Linked DNA regions of Drosophila melanogaster. The protein of the gene in region 1 purifies or fractionates together with the protein of each later gene. This does not show direct contact. Each region holds a gene or a part of one and is shown on either strand. Other genes may lie near its edges.

What was found.
Region 2: the proteins of AhcyL1 (region 1) and RnrL purify together in Drosophila melanogaster (affinity purification with western blotting, with the first as the bait; one study listed by BioGRID). This does not show direct contact.

What each region holds. Positions count from the first base shown.
Region 1 is NT_037436.4:2,767,923-2,773,947, reverse strand, and holds AhcyL1 (adenosylhomocysteinase like 1), read left to right. Parts: upstream 1-1,622; 5' UTR 1,623-2,158; coding exon 2,159-2,680; intron 2,681-3,456; coding exon 3,457-3,906; intron 3,907-3,970; coding exon 3,971-4,564; 3' UTR 4,565-5,482; downstream 5,483-6,025. Other genes in the region: CG12093 (uncharacterized protein), read left to right, coding at 46-549, 644-843, 902-1,340; Non2 (putative nucleolar protein 2), read right to left, coding at 5,946-6,025. UniProt on the Drosophila melanogaster protein: Might play a role in the regulation of methionine metabolism possibly by binding and inactivating Ahcy.
Region 2 is NT_033779.5:10,324,488-10,329,656, reverse strand, and holds RnrL (ribonucleoside diphosphate reductase large subunit), read left to right. Parts: upstream 1-1,713; 5' UTR 1,714-1,778; coding exon 1,779-1,830; intron 1,831-1,881; coding exon 1,882-1,970; intron 1,971-2,202; coding exon 2,203-2,380; intron 2,381-2,438; coding exon 2,439-4,558; 3' UTR 4,559-4,631; downstream 4,632-5,169. Other genes in the region: Schip1 (schwannomin interacting protein 1), read left to right, coding at 1-182, 247-335, 395-461, 522-853, 917-1,185, 1,247-1,310; CG4995 (uncharacterized protein), read right to left, coding at 4,692-5,169. UniProt on the Drosophila melanogaster protein: Provides the precursors necessary for DNA synthesis. Catalyzes the biosynthesis of deoxyribonucleotides from the corresponding ribonucleotides.

The sequences.
Region 1 (6,025 bases):
GTTTGCTTATTTTGCGCTTTTGTTTTTCTTTTGCTTGCAATTATTATGTTTATTTGGCATTACTTGACCCTCTTGTGCCTTGGGTTCGCCCTCATCGATGCGAAATCCATCAAGAAGTCGCAGGCCAATCTGTTGGAGCCAACTCTTGATCCTGATGAGAAGCTAGGGAAGATTGGGAAGTCCCCACCCGACATTTCCAATGATGTGCAACGTGTGCAGGTTCCATTAGGTGCGACGCCCGGCAAGAATGGCTGGCAGGGCAAGTGGTTTCCCCATGCCCCTGGACAACAGCAGGAAGCGATTGAATTAAAAATGAAGAGCACCACGGAGGAAGTTCCTCCGCTGGAGTTCACAACCAAGGATGGCTGGCAGGGCAAGTGGTTTCCACAAGCTCCCGGAGAGCCGCACTTGGTGAAGAAAAAACCGCTGGTCGATAACAAAACCAAGTCGGGGAAGTCCACCACACAGGATACTTGGCAGGGTAAATTGTTTCCGCAGGGTCCCAATGAATCGCACAAGACTAAACAAAGCAGCTGTGATGATGGCAAGGTGAGTTTGGCAATATAACTAATACTTCCCCTAAATACCGATGAATGCTTAGTATTAGTCATCTTTTTCTATCATTGTTATTAACAATTTTCAGAGCAATCTTGCCGTGGACTTCGATCCAAACGACATCCGTGACAGCCTGAATTTCCTATGCATCAGTAGTAATCACAGCTTGTACCAACCGGATTTGTCCAGAGAAGCCATTCTTACGGAGCACTTTCTACCTAGCGCCTATCTGCCGCCTGCCAAGTGCCTTAATGAGTCCATTAGCTACTCCCATCTGCCTGCCACCAAGTAAGGCGAACAATATTATAGTTTCCTGCTAATTTCAAATTCAAATCTGTATTATCAGTGGCCCCTATCGCCCGATGCCCGCTGAATATGGCACCTATTCCTACTTGCCTCCTCAGCGATACGTGCGTAATCTGGCGGAAGGTGCCATCGTAATGCTCTACCATCCCTGCGCTTTTCCCGGCCAAGTGAAGCAGCTGCAAGACATCGTGGGTGGCTGTCTGTATCGCCATCTGGTGTCACCCTCGCTGGCTCTGAGTCCGCAGCGACCGCTGGCCCTGCTCGCCTGGAGTCGCAGCCTCGAGATGTCCGTCGTGGATCGACAACTGGCGGCGGACTTCATCCAGAAACACGCCAAGCAAGGACCACTTGCACCGGAGGAATTGTCGCGTTTGATTGTCAAGAGACAGACCTACAAGGAGGGCCTTCTTAGGGAAGCGCACTTGGTCAACACGGCGGACGACTACGAGCTGTGCGGCTACCTACAGGAGGATATGTAGGCCAAATGTGTTAACTATTTGTTTTTAATAAACCTCGAATACTTTGCCAATTTCTTTTTGACTCATTAAATTATCCAGCTACCAGATTTAAAAGACTTGCAGCTGAGGAGTTGTAAATCACACTTTATTTACTTTGCTCATTAAAAAATAAACACATAATTAATGGTAAGAAATTATAAAAATTAATTTTTAGACGATTTCAGTTAAAAAGTCGTTACTTTGGCCTTTCTTCAGTGGGAACTTACCACACTTGCAGAATAGCACTAACGCCTTCTGCTTTTGGTATTTTCGCGTGTCTCGCTTACTGTCCTCGGTTCGGTTTAGTTCTCTTTTCTCCGGATAAAATCAAATTCAATAAGCGATCGCCAAACGATCCCCCACTTGGTCGCCACACAAACAACGTCGCCCGAAAGCCGACGGCTGCATCATCATCCCCTCTCCGGAAACTCCCATCAAGCCCCGGATCCAAAGTGTAGCCCCCCATTCGCAAAAGAAGAAGAAGAACAAAAACAATAGTGGAGAGGTGAAACAAAGGAGACTCGCACTAAAAACAATTAATTTAGCAATTTGTGGTCTCCACAACGTCGATAAATCACGTGATTGTGCAGTTCGTATAGACCCAGGCCACACCACTAGCCATTTGCAGCGCATCCTGCTTGGATTTCAGACTTTACATAACATCCAAGGCGCCCATTCAAAGGAGCAGCGGAAAAGGATTGCAAGCTCTGGAGTCGCAGAAGGTGGAACACTAGGAGCTAGAGCAAGGAGCCAATTTAAGGGATAGTAAGGAAATCCCCAGATTACCCTCTACTTCCACCATGAACAACCTGGCAGACACTGTGGTAGTTGATCCTGGATTCGGAGGCGGCGACAAGCAGCAGCAGGCTGGACCGGCGCCGCAGGATGCCAGCGTGGTGGTTCCTCCGCCGGCCACCAAGCAGTCCTCGGCTCTGAAGAAGACAAGTCGGTACAGGAGCCGCTCGCTTAGTGCCTCCTCAACGGATTCCTTCAGCTCCGCCAGCTACACGGGCAGCAGCGAGGATGGCGACGACGTGCCGCCCAGGGAGAAGGTCCAAAAGAACTCCAAAGGCAGCTCCGATTTCTGTGTAAGGAACATAGGCGCCCAGCATGCATTTGGGCGCAGGGAGATCGAGATTGCGGAGCAGGAGATGCCGGGCATCATAGCGCTGAAGAAGCGGGCGGCCGAGGACAAGCCTCTGAAGGATGCCAAGATCGTGGGTTGCACACACATCAACGCCCAGACTGCCGTGCTCATCGAGACGCTGGTGGAACTGGGCGCCAGCGTGCGCTGGGCCGCCTGCAACATCTACTCCACGCAGGTGAGATGTCGTATGAAAATGTCATAGGGTTCTTACGTATTCATAGGCTGCTTAATGCATTTAATGGAATCTCTTAAGAGATATCTTAACTCATTTTCCTATATTTATTTAAATTCATATGCATATGCGTGCTCGGTCACTTGATCTGCTCGGTCGCTTGGAGACAATTGTTGTCACGCCAGGCGACGCAAACAAATGATCAATCAAGCCATGTTAATCAATTAAGCGCCCGCGGCTCAAGTGTTTGGCAATCGCTGAGTAATTGATGTGCCCTGAATTGGGTCGCCATACCATTGGGAGTGGAAGTTACGGACGCAGTTTTAGTTCCAGCATTGGATCGGCTGCGGTTACTCGATCTGTTTGCCTATTCCTGCGGCGTGGCTGATGCAATTATCACGAGTCTGCTGACGCTAAACAATTTATGGCTTCTCTAATGAAGCGATGCGAGTGCGAGGGCGAGCGCCCTTCCCCGATCATTTATGCACCCATCCGTGCCAGCTTTTATCGCCCACGGCCCCCGACAGCCTGTCACGCTGATTCACCTGTATCGGCTGGGACTTATCAGCCAAGCTACGAGTGCCGTGCTTAGCGAGAATGGAGCCCGATGCGTTATCAGCTCGATATAAGTCAGATATTAGCAAATGTTTACGCCGCATTAGGGTGACTCGATTTATCAGGCCAACTCTCGAGGGTTTTACCTGTTTGACAATCATTTTATTAGCCTTCAAGGACTGTCATTATTAAAACAACTCAATATCGTTGCTTATTATTTTTAGAACGAAGTGGCTGCTGCTTTGGCCGAATCCGGAATCCCGATCTTTGCCTGGCGCGGCGAGACGGAAGAGGACTTCTGGTGGTGCATAGATCGCTGCGTTAACGCCGAGAACTGGCAGCCAAACATGATCCTGGACGATGGCGGCGATGCCACGCACTTGATGCTAAAAAAGTACCCGACCATGTTCAAGTTGGTCAAGGGAATCGTCGAGGAGAGCGTCACCGGAGTGCACCGTCTCTATCAGCTCTCTAAGGCCGGCAAGCTGACAGTGCCGGCGATGAATGTCAACGATTCGGTGACAAAGACCAAATTTGACAACCTCTACAGCTGCAAGGAATCCATCCTGGACAGCCTCAAGCGCTCCACGGACGTGATGTTCGGTGGCAAGCAGGTCGTGGTCTGTGGCTACGGCGATGTGGGCAAGGGATGTGCTCAGGCTCTAAAGGGGCAGGTAAATGGCACCCACAACCATTAGTATGATATACCTTTGTCACCTTTTCAATCTCCAATCGTAGGGCTGCATTGTGTACATCACAGAGATCGATCCCATTTGCGCCCTGCAGGCCAGTATGGATGGCTTCCGTGTGGTCAAGCTGAACGAGGTGATCCGCAACGTAGACATTGTGGTGACGGCGACCGGCAACAAGAACGTGGTGGTGCGCGAGCACATGGACAAGATGAAGAGTGGCTGCATCGTATGCAACATGGGCCACTCGAACACGGAAATCGATGTGAATGGCCTGCGCACACCGGACTTGACCTGGGAGAAGGTGCGCTCCCAGGTGGATCACATTATCTGGCCGGAGGGCAAGTACATCATTCTTCTGGCCGAGGGCAGGCTGGTCAATCTGAGCTGCTCCAGCATCCCCTCGTTCGCCGTGTCTATCACCTCGGCCACCCAGGCCCTGGCCCTGATCGAGCTTTTCAATGCCCCGCCCGGACGCTACAAGTCGGATGTCTACTTGCTGCCCAAGAAGATGGACGAGTATGTTGCCAGCCTGCACCTGCCCACCTTCGATGCCCATTTGACGGAGCTGAGCGACGAGCAGGCCAAGTACATGGGACTGAACAAGGCCGGTCCTTTCAAGCCCAACTACTACCGCTACTAGGACGCAAGGCGGGCGGATGCGGACAATAACACCAGCAATTAGAAGAAACAACAACGCCAACGAAAGTATTGTCTTTGCGAAGAAGTAAAACTATTTAAAACAATTGTTGACACACACACACACGGAAAACACAAAAGGATACGGAAAGGAGAACACAAAGTTACTATTACCATTGTATTGCTTAGTTTAGCTCGAGCGGAATTCTTGGTTGCTTTTCGTTAGCATTTAAAGTCTTCGACATAGTATTTAGCACTCGCTTTAGCCGCAGGAGTATTCTCTCCGTTCACCTATCCAACATGACTCTCTAATCCCCAAAACTAATCTTGCCCCAAGAATTTATCCCCATCAACATTTTTTGTAGCCAGTTACTTGAATTTATTTTAAATACTTCGAACGCCTGTCAATCAGACTGCAGTAGCTCAAAAGACGCGATTAGTTCTCTAAATGTATACTTCTAATTCGGAATTGATAATATATTTAATGGGAATTGACTTGTATAATGGTTTCTAGCATATTTGCATTACATTTCTATAACTTTTTCGCGTGAAATCCATGTACATTTTAATGTTAACGACTTTCCTGACTAATCCCTTTTTTGAGCTACGACAGCTGGGCAATAAGTGATCGATTTAACCTCTCGTATTGTTTACGTACTTAATTTGTTAATGTTTATGGCCCCCGCTTATGATTATGATTATACTTTTGTACTTTCGTTTCGTCCCGAGAGCGTTAATGGAACAGCAGTGCAAGGTATTCCATTTATTCAATTATATACACGCTGGCATATATATCAGATCGAGAATTATATATATATATACACTGCATATACACCTAATATGTATATTAGAAAAAGTGAAAAATGTTTGTAAGAAATTTGTGAGAAACGCAAAACAATAAAAAAGGGATTCTTTATTGAGCAATTAGATCTGTTCCACTGATTGATTTCTCCCCCAGCAGCCCCGTCGAAATGAAAACCAGGAAAAGTTGCTTTCGTATTTTTCAGATGCATCACTCGTCTATTTCTCTTTTTATTACTCGGTACTTGCCTTAAACTTGTTATGTTTTTCTTTGATATTTTATAAAATGTAAACTACACGAGTTTGTCATAAAAAAAATCATACACATTATGTATTATAATCGATTTTTTTTTTGTAATTTTCCGTTCATCTGAACTATTCCTAAAATGCCGTAAAGTGCATAATGTGCAAACCCGTCCTAATTAGGGTAATGCTAAACACATGCGTCAACTAAATCTTAATCAAAGGTTGTGGAACAAACAAATCCAGGCGGAGCCGAAAGTTACAGGGGATTGGTAAACCAGGCTGGCGGAGAGGCATACACATATATTTGCATCTGGAGAGGATCGGAGGGCGGATCTGATCTAATCGAGAAAGTGCGGCTTGAGATGCTTCAGCATGCCAAAGGTGCGGAAGCGGCGGATCTTCATCACCTTCATCAGCT
Region 2 (5,169 bases), on another chromosome or scaffold:
AAATCAGGCTGAAATACCCAACATGAGCAGCTTGGAAATCGGTGGAAGTGGAAGCCAGCAGAATCTGGACGAGGACAATAACAAGGTGGCTAGTCGGAAGTACTCAAATCAATCGCGCTGGTCTCAGTACTTGGAAGATCCCATCAAGTACTCCAAAGATCCATGCTCCACCATGGTTTTAGGTAATTTCAAATATGAATTAATCGTTATAGATTCTTGAGTATATTAATATTTAAATTTTTATAGAACAATTTGATGCGTACAAGATTGCAAACGATATGGATGTAGAAACATTGCAAAACCATTATAAAAAGGTTAAACAGATAGAGAAAAAGGTAGGTACAATATAATCGGAATAATAATATCATTTATTAAATATATATTCCAATTACAGCGGCGATTCAATCGAGATGAGATACGCAAGAGATTGGCAATCGGAGATAAAGATTCTTTAAATAATGGTAAGACCAAAGATATTCTTTCATTACTATATTTTCTTAAATATTATATTTTATATTTAGACATTAAGAAGGAGGAATTTCTAACCGGATCCGATAATGAAAGTTATAGCTCCGACTCTGAGACGTGTCCAAAACTATCAAGTGGAGTACTTCGCAAGCAATCTGAATTCTGTGAAACGAAACGCAATAAGGAATTTGAAAACGATAAAATCTTTCAAAAGAACCAAATCAACCAAGATAAAAGCATGAATCATATGAATGGCAATCCCATTGGTACAACAGATTATCCGTCGGATGAAAACTTGTTTTTCTTTGCGAATCAATCAAAACTTCAAATAGAGGTTAGAATAGCACTAGCTCAATCGAAGGAAATAGCTCAGATGAAAGTAAAGGTGTGTTTTCCACAGGATTTATTTATTTTTTATTCAAATGTAATTGTAATTATCTATTTGTAGGCAAGGAAACATGGCGTAACTCCCATTGTGGACGTAATTCGATCAATGCTGTGTGATGTTGGCATCAAAATGAACTCCAACCATCGATGGATTTCGAGGCAGCTGCTCACTGGAATCCAAGTTCCGACTCTCCAGCTATTGGTCAACAATCTCCAGGAATATATTGAAAACCTAAACGTCACACTACTGGAGAGCCTTAAGGAGCGAGACGATTTGAATTCGGACCAAGATGATATATTACACGATCTCGAAAAAATAAATAACTTTTTGTATGTATACAAATATTATCTTATTTTAACTGTGTGTATTAATGTTAATATTTCTTTCTAGTGTTTTCCAACAGCAATCTGGACAGCAAGTCAATAAAATAGTTAGACACGGCCATTTAGATTAAACACTTGAAATTGCATATTTTATTAACAACTTGTTTACAAATATTATAATCTCTTGTATAATTGATAACAATCTACCGAGACCGTTTATAAAACACATACTCAAATGTTCTTCAAACACTGTTATATTTATGTAATTATATAAAGCTAAATAAATAAAAAATACAACTAATTATTTATATTAACACTAAACTAAATTTGTTTTTATAAAACACCTGTGTATTGATACAAGCAGTTATTTATATATTTATTTGATTATCTAAAATGATATATTTTTTAAGAATATGATATAAATGTGAGTGGAACGGTTCGAAATAATTTTGTTTCTTGATCGTTTCAAAGTTAGGCGTTTTGAAAGTGCGGCATTTGATCAACATGTCGCACGGTAACACTAATAATGACTTTAATTTGGCGCCTTTTTGTGCTTGCAACAATCAATTTGCCGCCTCTTGTGAAATATAGCAGTCAAGATGTTGAAGAACAAGTCCATGAAAACCTCAAAGTTATATGTTATTAAGAGAGGTGGGTTACAATTCCTTGTCGCTATGACTGTTCTTAATATATTTATTTCAGATGGCAGGCAGGAGGAGGTGCACTTCGATAAAATAACCTCAAGAATCCAGAAGCTTTGCTACAACTTGAACATGGATTTTGTTGATCCTGTAAGTTTGTTTCTATTGTTTAAAGGTGCTCATCACACAGGTTGCACTCGAACCTAGTAAGTATGATGCGTATTTATATGTGATGGGGTTTGATTTTATCTGCAACAGAATGTGCGAGCGCCCCTGGTGAAACTCATGTGGGAGTCCCAAGATATACAAACCATTTGTAATAAGTTATCAGCAGATTATTTGGGAAGTTTTCCTGATGTGTTATTATGCTTTATCTTTATAGGTTACTATCACCCTGCAAGTCATCAATGGTCTGTACTGCGGCGTGACCACCCAGGAGCTGGACAACTTGGCAGCAGAAATCGCAGCTGGATTAACATGCAATCATCCCGACTACGCCATCCTGGCTGCTCGCATTGCAGTGTCCAATTTGCACAAGGAAACCAAGAAGGCTTTTTCTGGTAAGTTCATAGCTTGTATTCTGAGTTCTTCGGTTAATCCAATCATGATTCTTATTAGACGTCTTCGAGGATCTGTATAATCATGTAAACAAGGAGACGAATCAAAAAGTGCCCTTGGTATCCGAGTTTCACTACAATGTGGTTAAGAAGAACGCCACACGGCTGAACTCGTCCATAATCTATGATCGTGACTTTGGCTATAACTATTTTGGCTTCAAGACCCTGGAGCGTTCCTATCTGCTCAAAAGAAACGGAAAGATCGCAGAGCGACCGCAGCATATGCTGATGCGCGTGGCGATCGGAATCCATGGAGAGGATATCGATGCGGCCGTGGAAACTTATAATCTTCTATCGGAGCGCTACTTCACGCATGCATCGCCCACACTGTTTGCCGCTGCCACAAACCGGCCGCAGTTGTCGTCGTGTTTCCTTCTGACCATGACAGCCGACTCCATCGAGGGCATTTTCAAGTCTGTGGAGCAGTGCGCCATGATCTCCAAGTCCGCCGGTGGCATTGGACTTAACGTACACTGCATTCGTGCAAAGGGCACATCGATTTGCGGCACAAATGGAACTTCGAATGGGTTGGTTCCAATGCTGAGGGTTTTCAATAATGTGGCACGTTATGTGGATCAGGGAGGCGGCAAGCGTCCCGGTGCCTTTGCCATTTACCTGGAACCCTGGCACTCGGATGTCTTTGAGTTCCTGGAACTGAAGAAGAACACAGGCAAAGAAGAGAATCGCGCACGCGATCTGTTTTACGCCCTGTGGATACCCGATCTCTTCATGAAACGCGTGGAGGCCAACGGTGATTGGTCGCTCATGTGCCCCCACAAGTGTCCTGGTCTCCACGACGTGTGGGGCGATGAATTCGAAAAGCTGTACGAGAAATACGAGCAAGAGGGTCGGGCCAACCGAACGGTTAAGGCTCAATCCCTGTGGTTTGCCATCATTGAGGCGCAAGTGGAGACCGGAAATCCGTACATGCTGTTCAAGGACGCTTGCAACAGGAAGAGCAACCAGCAGAATGTGGGCACAATCAAGTGCAGCAACTTGTGTACGGAAATCGTAGAATACTCCGCACCGGATGAGATAGCAGTCTGCAACTTGGCCTCCATTGCCCTCAACATGTTTGTAACGCCGGAGAAGACGTATGATTTCAAGAAGCTCAAGGAAGTCACCAAGATAGTTACCAAAAATCTAAACAAGATAATTGATATCAACTATTATCCTCTGCCAGAGGCAAGGAAATCCAATTTGAGGCACCGTCCCGTGGGCATTGGTATTCAGGGATTCGCTGATGCTTTGATTCTCATGCGTTTCCCGTACGAAAGCGAAGAAGCCGGTCTCTTGAATCAGCAGATATTCGAAACGATTTACTATGGCGCCTTGGAAGCCAGCTGCGAACTGGCCCAGACCGAAGGTCCATACGAAACCTACGAGGGCAGCCCGGTAAGCAAGGGAATTTTGCAATACGACATGTGGGACAAGGTGCCAACGAACCTGTGGGACTGGCAGAAATTGAAGGAGTCCATTAGGATGCACGGTGTCCGGAACTCTCTGCTTGTTGCTCCCATGCCCACGGCATCTACAGCTCAGATAATGGGCAATAATGAATCCTTCGAGCCCTACACCACAAACATATACACCCGGCGAGTTCTGTCCGGCGAATTCCAGGTGGTCAACCATCATTTGTTGCGCGACCTAACCGAGCTGGACTTGTGGGACGACGACATGAAGAACCAGATCATATCCAGCAGAGGATCGATCCAAAACATTGAGACCATACCCCCGAAGGTGCGCGATCTGTACAAGACGGTGTGGGAAATCTCGGTCAAGTCCACGATTAAAATGGCCGCCGATCGTGGTGCGTTCATAGATCAGAGTCAGTCGTTCAACATACATGTGGCCGAGCCAAACTATGGAAAGCTGACCTCCATACATTTTTATTCCTGGAAAGCTGGTCTCAAAACCGGAATGTACTATCTGCGCACCAAGCCAGCTGCGAATGCCATTCAGTTCACCGTGAACAAGAAGCAGGGTGCAGTGAGCATGAATGGCCAGAATGGCACCGCCGAGGGAAGCCCCCAAAAGTACGAAGAGGATAGGGAACGGAAAATGGCCGATATGGTTTGTTCGCTCGAAAATAAGGACGCCTGCATGTCCTGCGGTTCTTAAAAGCATTCACATAGACTAATATATTGTATTTAATTGTAATATCACTACGTTGAAATAAACTTAAATTATGAATAATTCAAATAGCTGTTACCTTCAACAAGCGCATTTATAAAGGTACTAAACAATTTATACTTTATTTTAAATTACAATCGGATGCTAAACGTGCTTTAGATTCTTTGGGAATGTTGATTGTGCTACTCGTGTAATGGCTGTGAACGACATCCTTTGGCGTGGACACATACTGATGGGACATGGCATTGTCCGTGATTATTTTGCGCACCACTTCCTCAACCGTTGGCGCCGTCGCCTCCAAGTCCGCTTGGCTCTTGTTGTCTAGGTTGACGAGAGTCAGTGGCTGATCGGAATGCATTACGGAATCCATGCCGCCCTTGGCATTGCAGATGTCCAGTACCCAGGACACCACAAAGAAGCAGGCGGCGTTCATCGGAAAAGCCCGGATCAAGGTGGAGTTTAGACCGCGAAAGAAGTACTGCGGTCCCTCGTTCCTAAAGCCCTTCATGGCACAGTCGATGAAGCCATTGTATTTGGCATTCGCGCCCAGGGCATCGGCCTGCATGTGGGTCTTCACCACGTCGATGGGGTAGCACGCC